Linked DNA regions of Ovis aries. The protein of the gene in region 3 interacts with the protein of the main gene of each other region in a pairwise test. Links are inferred from orthologs where the notes say so. Each region holds a gene or a part of one and is shown on either strand. Other genes may lie near its edges.

Region 1 (4,797 bases), on a different chromosome or scaffold from region 3:
CAGGTGGATTCTTCACCACTGAGCCACCCTCGAAGCCCCTTCAAAGACTTTAGCGCCAAATAAGAAGAATGTAAAATGTCTCATGACTAATTTTTTCTACCAATTACACACATTGGTAATGTTTGGGGCTAAATATTAGTTTCCTGTCACCCTGCTTGTTTAATCCATATGCTGAGCACATCATGAGAACCGCTAGGCTGGATGAGTTACAAGCCGGAATCAAGACAGGCAGGAGAAACATCAACAACCTCAGATAGACAGATGACAGCACTCTAATGGCAGAAAGTGAAGGGGAGCTAAAGAGCCTCTTGATGAGGATGAAGGAGAAGAGTGGAAGAGCTGGCTTAAGACTAAATATTAAAAAAAGATCATGGCATCCGGCACCATTACTGCATGGCAGATGGAAAGGGAAAAGGTGGAAGTAGTGACAGATTTCCTCTCGGGCTCCAAAATCACTGTGGATGGTGACTGCAGCCTTGAAATCAGAAGATGACTGCTTCTTGGCAGGAACGTGATGACAAACCTGGTCAGTGTGTTGCAAAGCAGAGGCATTACTCTGCCGACAAAGGTCTGTATAGTCAAAGCTATAGTCTTTCCAGTGATCACGTACAGTTGTGAGAGTTGGACCGTAATAAAGGCAGAATGCCAAAGAATTGATGCCTTTGAACTGTGGTGCTGGGGAAGACTCCTTTAAGTCCCTTGGAGAGCAAGGAGATCAAACCAGCCAGTCTTAACGGAGATCAACCCTGAATATTCACTGAAAGAACTGATACTGAAGCTGAAGCTCTAGTATTTTAGTCATCTGATGTGAACAGGCGACTCATTAGAAAAGTCCCTAGTGCTGGGAAAGATGGAGGGCAGAAGGAAAAGAAGGCGCCAGAGGATGAGATGGCTGGATGGTATCACTGACGCAATGAACATGAACTTGAGCAAACTCCAGGAGACGGTGAGGGATAGGGAGGCCTGGCCTGCTGCAGTGATGGAACAACAACAACAATTAGTTTCACTTATAAAAAATATGGCTACTGGAACTTAAAATTGCACATGTGGCTCACATGGTATTTCTGTTGGAGAGCGTGACTCTGAAACTCACAAATCTCAGTGCAAATTATGGCCTCTCACCTCCCTACCTCTGTGCCTTGAGCAAGCTAAGTAACCTGGCTGAGCTCAGCTAATATCGTAACAGCGCTGACGTCACAGAGCAGCCTGGAGGAATAAATAAGATGGCATGTTTAAACTGCTTATGTCAGTATGAGGAATATGGCTATCGTAAATAAGCTCTGGCTGGTGTTATTTTTCTCTCTCCTCCCCCACACAGAGTACATTCCAACCCCTTGGGCAGCCGACGGCAGGCCGGTTGGAGCATCACTGGTGAAGTTGCTTGTGCCCTGATCCACCGCCCCCGCCCCGGGTACAACACCCTTATCTGGATCCCCACACTCCCCTGGGTTGGCTGATACCTTCAATCTCCCTGGAGACAGCTGGTCATACTGCAGGGAGGCTGGGTGGCATCACTGCTCTGTGACCCAGTCTCCCTCCTGCTCCCAAAAGAAGAACAGTCTCTTCCACCCATGGGTGGTTAAGATACTTTCCTTCTACCGCGAGGGTCTCTGGATGGACGGGACGAAGCAGCAACCTGCTGGTCATGGGCACCAGCTGAGACAGTAACTGAGGTCATCTCTGGGAGGCTGTCACCCCTTCTTCTCCTGCTCCTCTGCTGTTTCCATCTCTGCCACTGGAGGTGTGTGTCTGCTCCTCTGGGAGGGGGAAAGCAGAGCCCTGGCTGCAGGCATGCCAGTGGGCGCCTTGCTCTTGTGCGCAAGTCCAGGTGTGTATGTGTGTGACCATGAGGCTGGGTATGTAGGGTGCCCCTGTGTCTGGCCGTGTGTGCATGTGGGTGTGTGAGTGTGCGCTGTGCGTCCTCATTGTTCTCCCAGCCCTGCCCCAGAGCCGAGCAGAGAAGGTGACCTTGAAGAGGTCACAAGCAGCAGCAGCAGCAGCACCATGGCCTCAGCTGCTTCCGTGACCAGCCTGGCAGATGAGGTCAACTGCCCCGTCTGCCAAGGGACCCTCAGAGAACCGGTCACCATTGACTGTGGCCACAACTTCTGCCGCGTCTGCCTCATCCGCTACCTGGAGATCACCAGCCTGGACCCCGAGGAGCCCCCGACCTGCCCACTGTGCAAGGAGCCTTTCCGTCCAGGGAACTTCCGGCCCAACTGGCAGCTGGCCAACGTGGTGGAGAACATCGAGCGTCTCAAGCTGGTGTCCCAGATGGACTTAGACGAGGAGGACGTCTGCCCAGAGCACGGGGAGAAGGTCTACTTCTTCTGTGAGGACGACGAGATGCAGCTGTGCGTGGTGTGCCGGGAGGCCTGGGAGCACCGCGCCCACACCGTGCGCTTCCTGGAGGATGCAGCGGGGCCCTACCGGGTATGAAGGGGAAACTGAGAGCTTTCTGGGGGTGGGTCTCGGATGCGACTAGACTGAAAGAAGCAGAGCGGAGGGGTGGATGATTTGGGCCACTCTCTATTTTATCATCAGCCAGGCAATAGACCCAGGAATGCAAGATCGTGTGTTTGTGTTTTAAGTATGTCCTATATTGTTTCCTTACGGCCAACGCATAATAGTAGCTCAACAAACACACAGTGAGTGAATGAGTCACCAAAACACGAGCATGTGTGTCTGGCCCTGGATCAGTCAGGTGTGTCTGAGGATGCCTGGGTTTGCACTTGAGGAAGTGATTGCATAGTGTGTATTAGTATTAATGTTTGCACGTTTCCCAGTGGATGCAATGTGTTTGGGGGGATCTGACAATTTGAGTGTGTATGTGTAACTGAGTGCTCATGTTTGTGAGTAAATTAGTGTTTACGTATATGCAGGTTGGGTAGATACATATAGTGTGTAATTTTCTCTGTCATTAAATGAGCGTATGCTGGTTTTAGTTGTTTATGCATCTTGTTTTATTACAAGTAGGTGTCTGTGTATATGTGTCAGCTAGTTAATTAGCATGTATTGGAAGAGTTCTAAATATATTTTGCAGTGTACTTTGATGGGCATTAATATGTGTATAACTGTTTGTAACTCTTCTCTAGAGCAAGAAATTTTTTGTATGTTTGTTTTGGGAGGGTGTTTTGGCCACATCGTGTGGCCTGTGGGATCTTATTAATAGTTCACCAACCAGGGATCGAACCTGTGCCCCCTGCAGTGGAAGCACAAAGTCTTAACCACTGGACCACCAGGGAAGTCTGCAAGAGCAAGCAATTTTTAAAATAAGTCATTGATTTTTTTTTTTTTTTTTTGCATTATCCATGTTTCTTGTTCCCTCCAGATCATACTCAGAAAGTTGATTCCATTCATAACAGAGGTTGTTTGGAGGTGCTCCTTTTGGGAGATGTGAGAAAGTTAGGATAATTTCAAAGAAGGGCATATCAAATTCAGGACAGACCCTAGATACCATTTCTAAAGGCAAAAGAAATTAGAGTCTGTTTAGCCTGATGACAGGGCTTCCCCGGGGGCTCAGCAGTAAACAATCTGCCTGAATGCAGGAGACACAGGAGATGAAGGTTCGATCCCAGAGTTGGGAAGATCCCCTGGAGGAGGGCATGGCAACCTACTCCAGTATTCTTGCCTGGAGAATCCCATGTACTGAGGACCCTGGAGGGCTACAGTCCATAAATTTGCAGAGTCAGACAAGACTGAAGCGACTGAGCACATTTACACAACCTGATAGCAGGAAGGCTCAGGTGGGAACATGGAATCATAGCCTATCATGGTGCAGGTTAAAGGGGGAAAGCCCTGATCAAAATTCTTGGAGGGACAAACAAGAGGAAAAAGACCCAAAGAGAGTCAGCTGTTAAGGACAATAACAACCCAGGCTTTGTCAGCTGAGGCCCAACTCCTTCCATTGGGTCACTCTATTCCAGGAGACAGAGATGACACTTCTTCACAAATCATTGTTTCCATCTTAAATATTTTTTAAAAATTAATTGAAGTATAGTTGATTTACAGCTTTGTATTAGTTTCTAGTGTACAGCAAAGTGGTTCATAAATATTTTCAGGCTCTTCCATTATAATTTATTTCAAGGTATTGAATTTAGTTCCCTGTGCTGTACGGTAGGTCCTTGTTGTTTATCTGTTTTACATATGGTAGCTTGTATCTGCTAATCCCAAACTTCTCATTTATCCCTCCCCCACCTCCATCTTAGATATTTTATGCCCCTTCTTTCCAGGAACAAATACAGAAGTGTCTTGAATGTCTAAGAAAAGAGAGAGAGGAGATTCAAGAAATCCAGTCAAGGGAAAATCGAAGGATACAAGTCCTCCTGGTAGGTCATCATCCCTTCCTTAGCCCTCTTGCTTTCCTCTGGCTCCAGTGCCTATCTGAAATAAGGAAACATCGCATAAAGGGGCTTTGAAGTCCTTCTGAGTTTGAATCCTGAAACAAATTAGCTCTATGACCTCAAACAGCTCTCTATGCTCTGTTTATTTTCCTGTGAAGTGAAGATTAAAAATCGTCACTATCTCACTGAATTGCTGTAACGACTGTCCCTTAGTGACACGCACGTTGTTACACTTGGTAAACGGCAGGAAGTAAGGTTTCCTCACCCCCTCCTTACATCTCCTCCCGGAAATGGCAGGCCAGGTGGAAAGGAAACCACGCCGTGGTTCCAAGTCTGTCCAGGGACCTAGAGACTAGGGGACTCTGACTTTACCACCAAACCTTGGAAGATATGGATCTGGGCCAGGAGGGAGATGGGAGTGAATTAAGGAAAAAGAAGGAAAAGGAAGGGGAAG
Region 2 (3,752 bases), on a different chromosome or scaffold from region 3:
AGAGATTACTGGCAGAGAATGGGGTGCTCTGATAGGTGAAGTGGTTAGGAAAGTCCTCTTTGAAACCCGAGGGAGAAAGAGTCAGGCAGTCAAATGAGGAGAGAGCCTTCCAAGGCAGGAAAAATAGAAAGTACAAAGGTCCTGGGGCCAGAGCTACTTGTGTGCAAGAATCAGCAGAGAGAACAATGTGGTTAGAGCACAGCAGGAACTGAGAGGAGGCGCAGATGAGGTAGGGCCTGGTAGGCCATTACCAAGACTTTGGTTTTTCTTTTGACTGATAAGGGAAAACTATTGGAGGGTTTACAGCAGGGAGGGGAAGTGATCTAACTTTTGTTCTAAAGGAGTCCTGTCCTTACTCTGGGGAATACATACACTATAGGAAGAGAAGAATGGAAGTTAAGTGGTTAGTTTCAACAGCCTGTGTGAGAAAGGAGGGCTGGGACCAGGGTGGTATTGGTAGAAGTAACAAGAAGTGATTCGACTGGGAATATATTTTAAAAGGTGTTCCAACAGAATGTGGTGGCCCAGAGGCTGTCTCCCCAACTCATTTGTCAACTATTTGAATAATCGCATTCAAAGTAGAAAAGCAAAGCCATTTTTAAAACACAAGTGTTTATTGTTAAGCAGGGGATAAATACCCAGTAGTCAAGGGACACTAACATTAGGACAGAAATAGAGTCAAAGATAGGCAGGACTCCTGCAAATGGTGATTGGATGCTAAATTTTGCAGAACTTTTTACACTTTGCTATTTACAAAAATAATTTTAAACAAAGGGATAGAAGTACACAATACTATTTTCCAACCAAAGAAAAATCCCTTTTAAATATCGCTTTGTCATGAAAGACAGGACCCCTGAGGGTCTTTCATAACTCTTACAGGGTGTGACGCTGGCGTGCAGCCAGCACTGCTAACGGTTCTTTGGGTGAGGGAGATTTCATAAGCCAAGAAATGTGTTAAAACCACTCAGAGGGAACCCAGGGGCTACTGGCCCTCCAAGGAACACCGAGATGTATGAGTCGGCTTGGCTGAAGGGTGGTGAGTCCTTTAAACCTGAGCAGGTTGAACCTCTCTGAGAGATGGGTCTTTTGCGCTTGCACGGTCCAGGCTACGGCCCGACCCACATCCAAGGTTGGGTCTTCGCCTTTATCCAGCGGCCCCCGGACCTGCGAGCGCGGACGCCGAGCCCTAGTCCGGGCCACCCCGGCCCCGCCCCTTGCCTTCCCCGGCCCCGCCCCTTGCCTTCCCCGGCCCCGCCCCTTGCCTTCCCCGGCCCCGCCCCCTCCAGCCGGGCGGTGCCTGAGCGGGGCCGTCAGCTCGGCTGTGTGGGCGGAGCTTGCGCCGCCGCCGGGACCCCTGCGCGCACCGCCCCTCGCTCCTAGCCACCGCGCGTCTCCTCTGACACGCACTTCCTGCGAGGCCTCCGAGAGCACCTTAGCCTAGCCGAATCGAGCTGCGCCCTGCCCTGCCTTTCCAAGCTGTTCGCCATGGTGGATGAGCTGGTCCTGCTGCTGCACGCGCTTCTGATGCGGCACCGCGCCCTTAGCATCGAGAACAGCCAGCTCATGGAACAGCTTCGGCTGCTGGTGTGCGAGAGGGCCACCCTGCTGCGCCAGGTACGTCCGCCGAGCTGCCCTGTGCCCTTCCCCGAAACGTTTGACGGCGAGAGCTCCCGGCTCCCCGAGTTTATCGTGCAGACGGCGTCTTACATGCTCGTCAACGAGAACCGATTCTGCAACGACGCCATGAAGGTGGCATTCCTGATCAGCCTGCTCACCGGGGAAGCCGAGGAGTGGGTGGTGCCCTACATTGAGATGGATAGCCCCATCCTGGGCGATTACCGGGCCTTCCTCGATGAGATGAAACAGTGTTTTGGCTGGGATGACGACGAAGAAGACGAAGACGAAGATGAAGAAGATGAGTATTAGGCCCGGAGACCCTCGGGCCTAGAGGGGGAAGGGCACTGCCCTCCGCCACCCCCGCTGCCTCCCCGCCTCGCCCCGCCCGGAGCCACCGCGCTCCCCTAACGCTGTGATCCCCTGGCCTTTCCCTCCCCTCTGGTTGTCTTCCTCACCCTCCACTCTCTGCCGTAGTGCTTGTCTTTGTTCCAGGCATAGTGCTCTCTAGTCACCTGCTGCTGAGGCTGGGGCGTCTCTGAAGTGCACTCTGCTGCCCACTCTGGCCAGCCCCAGGACCCTCACTGCTCGTTAGAACTGTGTTCTGAGCCCCAGCTCTAGGGCAAGCCCCTCTTACAAACCGGTCAGCCTATACTCTGCCTTGCTGACTGTCAGGCCTGCACCTCTGCCCAGCGACCTGCGCTGCCACCCAAGCACCCTCCACCAGATTCCAGCGATAGACCCGGCCTTTGGAGATCAGGAACAATCTAGAAGATGCCTTTGTGGGCTACACCTCCTGGGACACTGATTTGGACTGCTCACCAACAACTCCACCCCCCTCCCCAGGGGCTAATCTTTCAACTTGATTAATTGTTCCCTACTAACTCCAGGTCTTCCTCCTGGCCCACCAGATTGCTGCAGGGGCCCATTGTGCCTGGCAACCCAATTGTTGACATTTCTCCTATGCATCAGTTTTGCACACCCGTCATCTTCATTTCAAAATTGCAGCAGTCCCATCGAGGTGTGCATTTGGACAAAAATACTAAAAACCGAACAATACAAACAAAAGCAAGTACTCAGCCCAGCTCCTCAATGCTACCTGGAAAAAGCATTTGCATTCTTTTCAATAAATTTCAAGCACTACCAAAAAAAAAAAAAAAAAACAACAACAGCAAGTGTCTTTTCATGGTTAAGGGCTATCATTGGCCTTTGCCACTTTCACCCTGACTCATTATTCCCACTGGCATCAGGGAATCTCATTCAACTTTCAATCTCTGTACTCCCCACTGTCACGACTAAACTCCAGAGGACAGTTACTACAGGGCTTTATGGGGAAACTGGTACTACCCCCACTGATGCCTTTCTTATAGCCCTGGTGAAGGGAGTGTTCTCTGGTGCTTCTGAGGTGGCATGGGTAAGGGGTGGCTGAGCAGGCAGGTGGCACACCATCCCAAACTGGGACAATTTTGAGAGAGCTTCAAGGGGACACTATTAATAATTAGACTGGAACAACAAGTACAAGTCAGGACACACAATATTTCTATTTTCATGAACTTTGGGGTTCTTCCTCAACATGGTCAGAGATGTTCTGCCTGTTAACTCTTAGTGCCTGTGGGGTGCTATTGATTTTAGGCTTCAATACATAGTGTAGCACATTGTTTTAAAACCCCTTTTAGGTGCTTGAGCTAACATTAAATCCCAGATCCTGGATAAATGTGTGCATACTAAATGGAGCCTGATTTGAACATTTCATCTTCCTCAGGCAGATCCCCTTAGAATTCCCACCCATCCATGTGCCCCAGATTCCTGCCTGAAGAAACTGACAAGATACCTAGATCTTGTACTACTGCTGTCTGAGCTATGCTGAGATCTCTCTGTGGGCCTGGAAGGCTCAGAGGCACTGAGGTAGTGGGGTGAGTGTTGAGAAGAAACTGCATACCTTTGTGGGGCAATTACCCAGTTAAGTCGCTGCAGTGTTAAGTCAGGGAACCTTGGTCCAGGGGTTTGTGGGGGCTGCCTATGCCAGCCAGGACCTGTCATGGAGGATTTGAGCTGTTCTGAGTTCTTATCTGTATCTGCCCCAATGTCTTCATTGTACCATATCCAGAGCCAGCCCTACCTTAGAACTTCTAATTTAG
Region 3 (4,829 bases):
CAGAGATATGTAGAAAAGAACTGTCAAAATTTTTATGTGCTAAATAATAATTTTAAGCATCCATTCAACATTCATTATTCACTCATTTAGCATTATTTATTAAGCTCTTAATATGTAGTAGGCATTATGCTAGGTGCTGGGAAAACAAAAAAACATTTGTTTTTTTTAATCTACTAAATTTTTAATCTACTAAATTTACAGTGATTTTGAAAAATGACAACAAGCAATATTGGTGAATTTAAGAAAGGGATCACTCATAGACAAGGGTTGAGAATACATTTTGGTAAAACATTTCTCCAGAGCAATTTAGTACTTTTTATAAAAGCCTTAGAAATATCCATTTCATTTGACCCTACAATTCCATTTTCAGGAATTTATTCTAAAAAAAGGAGTGCAGATGTGTATACAAAAGATATGTCATAAATAAGCTGCCTGGGAGAGGGGTAACCTAAATATTAAAGACTAGGAATTTGGGTAAATAAAATATCCAGTGCATAATACTAGGGAGTCATGTTTAACCTAGAAAATGTTTAACATGAAGAAATGTCCAAAATATATGAGACAAGGTTTAAAAAAAGAGTCTGATACTAAATTGCTGGGAACTTGAGCAAATCACTTAAGTGAGCTGAGTCTCTTCTTCACCTGCAAAGCTTAGATACTTAAGGACCCTCTCAACTCTTCCGTTATATGACTCTAGGTATCCATCCTTTCTTTTTTATAAAGAAAATACCATCCTTTGTGGTTCAGTTGGTAAAGAATCCGCCTGCAATGCAGGAGACCTGGTTTCGATCCCTGGGTTGAAACGATCCCCTGGAGAAGGGAAAGGCTACCCACTCCAGTATTCTGGCCTAGAGAATCCCATGGACTGTATAGTTCATGGGGTCGCAAAGAGTAGAACACGACTGAGCGACTTCACTTCACTTCATCGTTGGCAGTCGGTAAATGTTAGGTTGGCAGCTGATTGCACAACTGTCCTAAACTATTTCATTCGAGGATTTACTAAAAATTGCTCACAAAAGAGAAAATATGTGTCTTGGAAGAAAATGTCTACCTTTTTCCTTAGTTGCCTAATCTTTCAGCATCGTGCTTGGTTTTGAAGGTACAGAAAGACACTGGCGCCCTCAGAGAGCAAAGTCTCTTGGGGTAAAACCAATAATAATGTTAAAAAGACTGATGATAACAAATCCTTGAAAGATGAGTTCTCCAAGGAGTAGGAGAAAGGATTCCAAAGTAGAAAGAAAAGCATGTTCACAGACAAGATAGAGAGAGAGGATGGTTGGCACAAAAACGGACCATTATTTGTGGCCTTTCTTTCAGTATCGTTCTTCTCATATTACCCAACACCTCATATATCGTTTAAGGGGAGACTGAGCCACACACTCGATCACCTGTAGTCTCTGGTGCATCCGGTCAGGCCGGTGAGAAACTGACAGGAGTCAGCAACACGGAGGTAACTTCACCAAGAACCCAAGAAGGGGTACTTGGTAGCGGCAGCCCAGCAGCTCCTAGTTCCCGCGGGCACTCCTGGCCAAGGTTTCCAGCCAATCTCAGTTCCTCTAGCTTCCCAGGCCCCTCCCACTTCTGAGCCGCCTGAGAGCTTTGAGGGCGGGGAAGCAAGGGAAGCCTATCGATATCTCTGGAATAAACTATTCTACCCTGCGCCGCCGCCGTCAAAGTCCGCAGTCTTCTCTGTAGATCGCCGAGCGGAAGTTTCGGCAGTGCTGTTCCATCCGCTGGTTTGCAGGAGGCCGAAGCCAGGCTCGCGCCGGAACCATGGTGCGTTGGATTCCGAGATTAGGCAGGGTTGGGGAAGAGGTCCGCTGGCTGGGGGGTAGGGGGAGCTTCTTCTCATGCCTTCCTTAGAGCGGCCCGGGGCCATGGGACTTAGGAACCGTTGCCGACGGGATGGTTCAGGCGGTGATTCAGCATCTCCGGCCTGGCCGGGAGAGTGGAGGTCGGTAGTCTGTGCTGCCGCTGCGACCTTTCCCTGGGGTTTGTTTCGCTTTCCACGGGGTCTTGAACAGTATCTTCTCGGTCTACCAGCCGATTTCGCTCCTCAGATTCCTTCAGTCGAGTAAATTCCGAGCGGTCCAGAGAGGGCCCTAGTGCTCTGTGTGGCAGAAAGGAAAAATAGGGACTTAACTTCAGACCTCCTTGTACTGCCAAGTGCGGACTTGATTCCAGGGTTTGGGTTGCTGCCTGGACCGCGTTCATTTTCTTGGCGGGTCCCTCTGCAGTCTTTTTCTTAGAGCTCTGTCAGAAAAAGCCCTTTTCAATCACTTTGTCTGCTGTTGCTGCTGCTAAGTCGGTTCAGTCGTGTCCGACTCTGTGCGACCCCATAGACGGCAGCCCACCAGGCTCCCCCGTCCCTGGGATTCTCCAGGCAAGAACACTGGAGTGGGTTGCCATTTCCTTCTCCAATGCATGAAAGTGAAAAGTGAAAGTGAAGTCGCTCAGTCGTATCGACTCTTAGCGACCCCATGGACCGCAGCCTGCCAGGCTCCTCCGTCCATGGGATTTTCCAGGCAAGAGTACTGGAGTGGGGTGCCATTGCCTTCTCCGACAAATGAGTGAACCGAAGCTGATATTAGTGATGAAATCAGGGTTATAGTATAGAGCTCAGGGATTCCAGGCCAGTGCCTGCCATTCCAGCGCTCAACCTTCTCACCCCCATGATTAGTCTCCCAAGCACTGTGCTGGTGGACTTAATACCGTCTTTAAAGCTGTAATGGGTCTGTTTTTATGGCAGTTTGTGTCCACTTATGACTTCCTGGGGACATTCTTGTGTTCTCATTCAGTATGAATGAATGAAAGGCACGTTCAATATGAATGTTTTAAGGGCAGTGAAGGTTCAAGGATAAATCAGACATATCCCAAATCGTAGTATGAGGCAGAAAAGTAAGTGTAGATAAAGAACTGGTGGGAATATGTTTTGAGATTTGGGGAGAAAAGATGGAGAAGATTTCAAGAGATAGACATTTGAGCTGACTTAAGAAAAGGTAGTAATGTTTTTGACCATTTATTAGGGTCTGAAAAAAGGGAAGAATATTAGCAAAGATAGAAAGGAAAGTGGACATATAGGAACTTTAGTAATTGACTAAACCCAAACCAAGTACTATGAACAGTGTTAGAACTGCTAGACTGATTGGGAAGCTATGTACCATTTAGATCCGCCCCCCCCCATCTCCTTATAAATGTAAAATTGACTTGCAGCTGATTACAGTAGTAATCTTCCAATGAGACTGCAATAGCAGCTTTTCCTTAATGCTGGATGGAGAGAGATGGGAGAACATTTTTTAATGATAGAGCTTGTGAAGATTTTGAATTTGTAATGTTCTTGTGTTAATAGGTCTTTTTTCATTTACTTTCAGTTTCGCAACCAGTATGACAATGATGTCACTGTTTGGAGCCCTCAGGTAAACTTTTGGTTACTGCAATGTGTTTAGAAGCTTATGGGATTGTAGGAAGTGAGAAAATGGAATATAATCATTTTATACGTTCCTGAAACCTAAGTTTATCATTAAAGTCAGTCTTCTAGTTTTAAGAAACAGCATTTGAGATGTAACTATGCCCACTTGAGATTTGGGATTGCTAAATTATGTTAAATATATAAAAGGGTCTTGTAATGACTAAGGTGTGTTGGGTTTTTTTTTTTTTTTCATTTTAGGGCAGAATTCATCAAATTGAATATGCAATGGAAGCTGTCAAACAAGGTTCAGCCACAGTTGGTCTGAAATCAAAAACTCATGCAGTGTTGGTTGCATTGAAGGTAAGTAAAGCAATAAATATATCTTCCTCCTTTAGAAAACACTGTAAAATGTTAGTTTCACTATATAAATAATAAAATTATAAACTTACTCTTTTGTCTTAAATGATGTTTCTATTTAGAGAGCACAGTCAGAACTTGCGGCTCATCAGAAAAAAATTCTCCATGTTGATAACCATATTGGTATCTCAATTGCGGGACTTACTGCTGATGCTCGACTGTTATGGTGAGTATGACCTGGAAAACAAAAGAAATATCCCTTTTGATTCATAATTGATTACATATCTAGAAACAATCCGGATATTTTAGGAAGTTGTCTGCTAGAGTGTTTATAAGTTAAGATTATTAATACCTTAATGTATTTGGGCTCAGTTACTAAGTATTCCATTTCTTGATCACTGTAGCAGTAATTAATAGGATTAACCACATTAACATTAATGCTTTTTAGAAGTCATTGAATAATGTATTACTTGTTAACTCAGTATATATAGTTTGATGTTAGATCTGGGAAGAGCTTGACACCAGGTTTCTGAAGGATCAGCTGAACCACCTTTGCTGTCTTTAATATACCAGTATTCATTTGACATTTATTTTTTGCAAAGCTCAATACTGGATACAAAGAGTATACAAAGGTGAATCAGACAGATCTCATCTTCTAGGAGCTTAAAATCTAGTAGAATATCTGCAATACAAGGTAGAAAGTGGAGAGCAACAGGTATATTTCTTTGGAGGGGGTGGGGGATAAAGATTATTTCCAGTTGAGAGGCATATTGCAGATGAAGAGCTGGGGCTTTGGGATCACACAGTCTTTAATTCCCACTTTTAACACTCAATCTGATGTTGCTCTAGTTACTCAAACTCTGAATTTTTTTAGTATTTTTTTTCCAAGGTTATTGACAAATAGCCTAACATGTAGAACACTTCATACAGCATCTTTCAGTGTATGTGTTGGTAAGTAGGAGGTAGTTAGCCACAAATAATCTCGTCTGTGATTTAATTAGGAAAGGAGGAATATAAACACCGAAGACAGTTAATAATGCTGATGTTTAAAATTTTCAAGTTA

What was found. The genes of interacting proteins can lie anywhere in the genome.
Region 1: the proteins of PSMA1 (region 3) and TRIM10 interact in binary tests that used the Homo sapiens proteins (3 or more experiments, as listed by UniProt). The two-hybrid records come from large-scale screens. The link is inferred for Ovis aries from reciprocal best matches to the Homo sapiens genes PSMA1 and TRIM10.
Region 2: the proteins of PSMA1 (region 3) and LDOC1 interact in binary tests that used the Homo sapiens proteins (3 or more experiments, as listed by UniProt). The two-hybrid records come from large-scale screens. The link is inferred for Ovis aries from reciprocal best matches to the Homo sapiens genes PSMA1 and LDOC1.

What each region holds. Positions count from the first base shown.
Region 1 is NC_056073.1:27,844,394-27,849,190, forward strand, and holds the start of TRIM10 (tripartite motif-containing protein 10), read left to right. Parts: upstream 1-1,528; 5' UTR 1,529-2,004; coding exon 2,005-2,433; intron 2,434-4,232; coding exon 4,233-4,328; intron 4,329-4,797. UniProt on the Homo sapiens protein: E3 ligase that plays an essential role in the differentiation and survival of terminal erythroid cells. May directly bind to PTEN and promote its ubiquitination, resulting in its proteasomal degradation and activation of hypertrophic signaling.
Region 2 is NC_056080.1:94,166,457-94,170,208, reverse strand, and holds LDOC1 (protein LDOC1), read left to right. Parts: upstream 1-1,403; 5' UTR 1,404-1,485; coding exon 1,486-1,926; 3' UTR 1,927-2,783; downstream 2,784-3,752. UniProt on the Homo sapiens protein: May have an important role in the development and/or progression of some cancers.
Region 3 is NC_056068.1:37,961,815-37,966,643, forward strand, and holds the start of PSMA1 (proteasome subunit alpha type-1), read left to right. Parts: upstream 1-1,714; 5' UTR 1,715-1,773; coding exon 1,774-1,776; intron 1,777-3,371; coding exon 3,372-3,416; intron 3,417-3,667; coding exon 3,668-3,769; intron 3,770-3,888; coding exon 3,889-3,992; intron 3,993-4,829. UniProt on the Homo sapiens protein: Component of the 20S core proteasome complex involved in the proteolytic degradation of most intracellular proteins. This complex plays numerous essential roles within the cell by associating with different regulatory particles.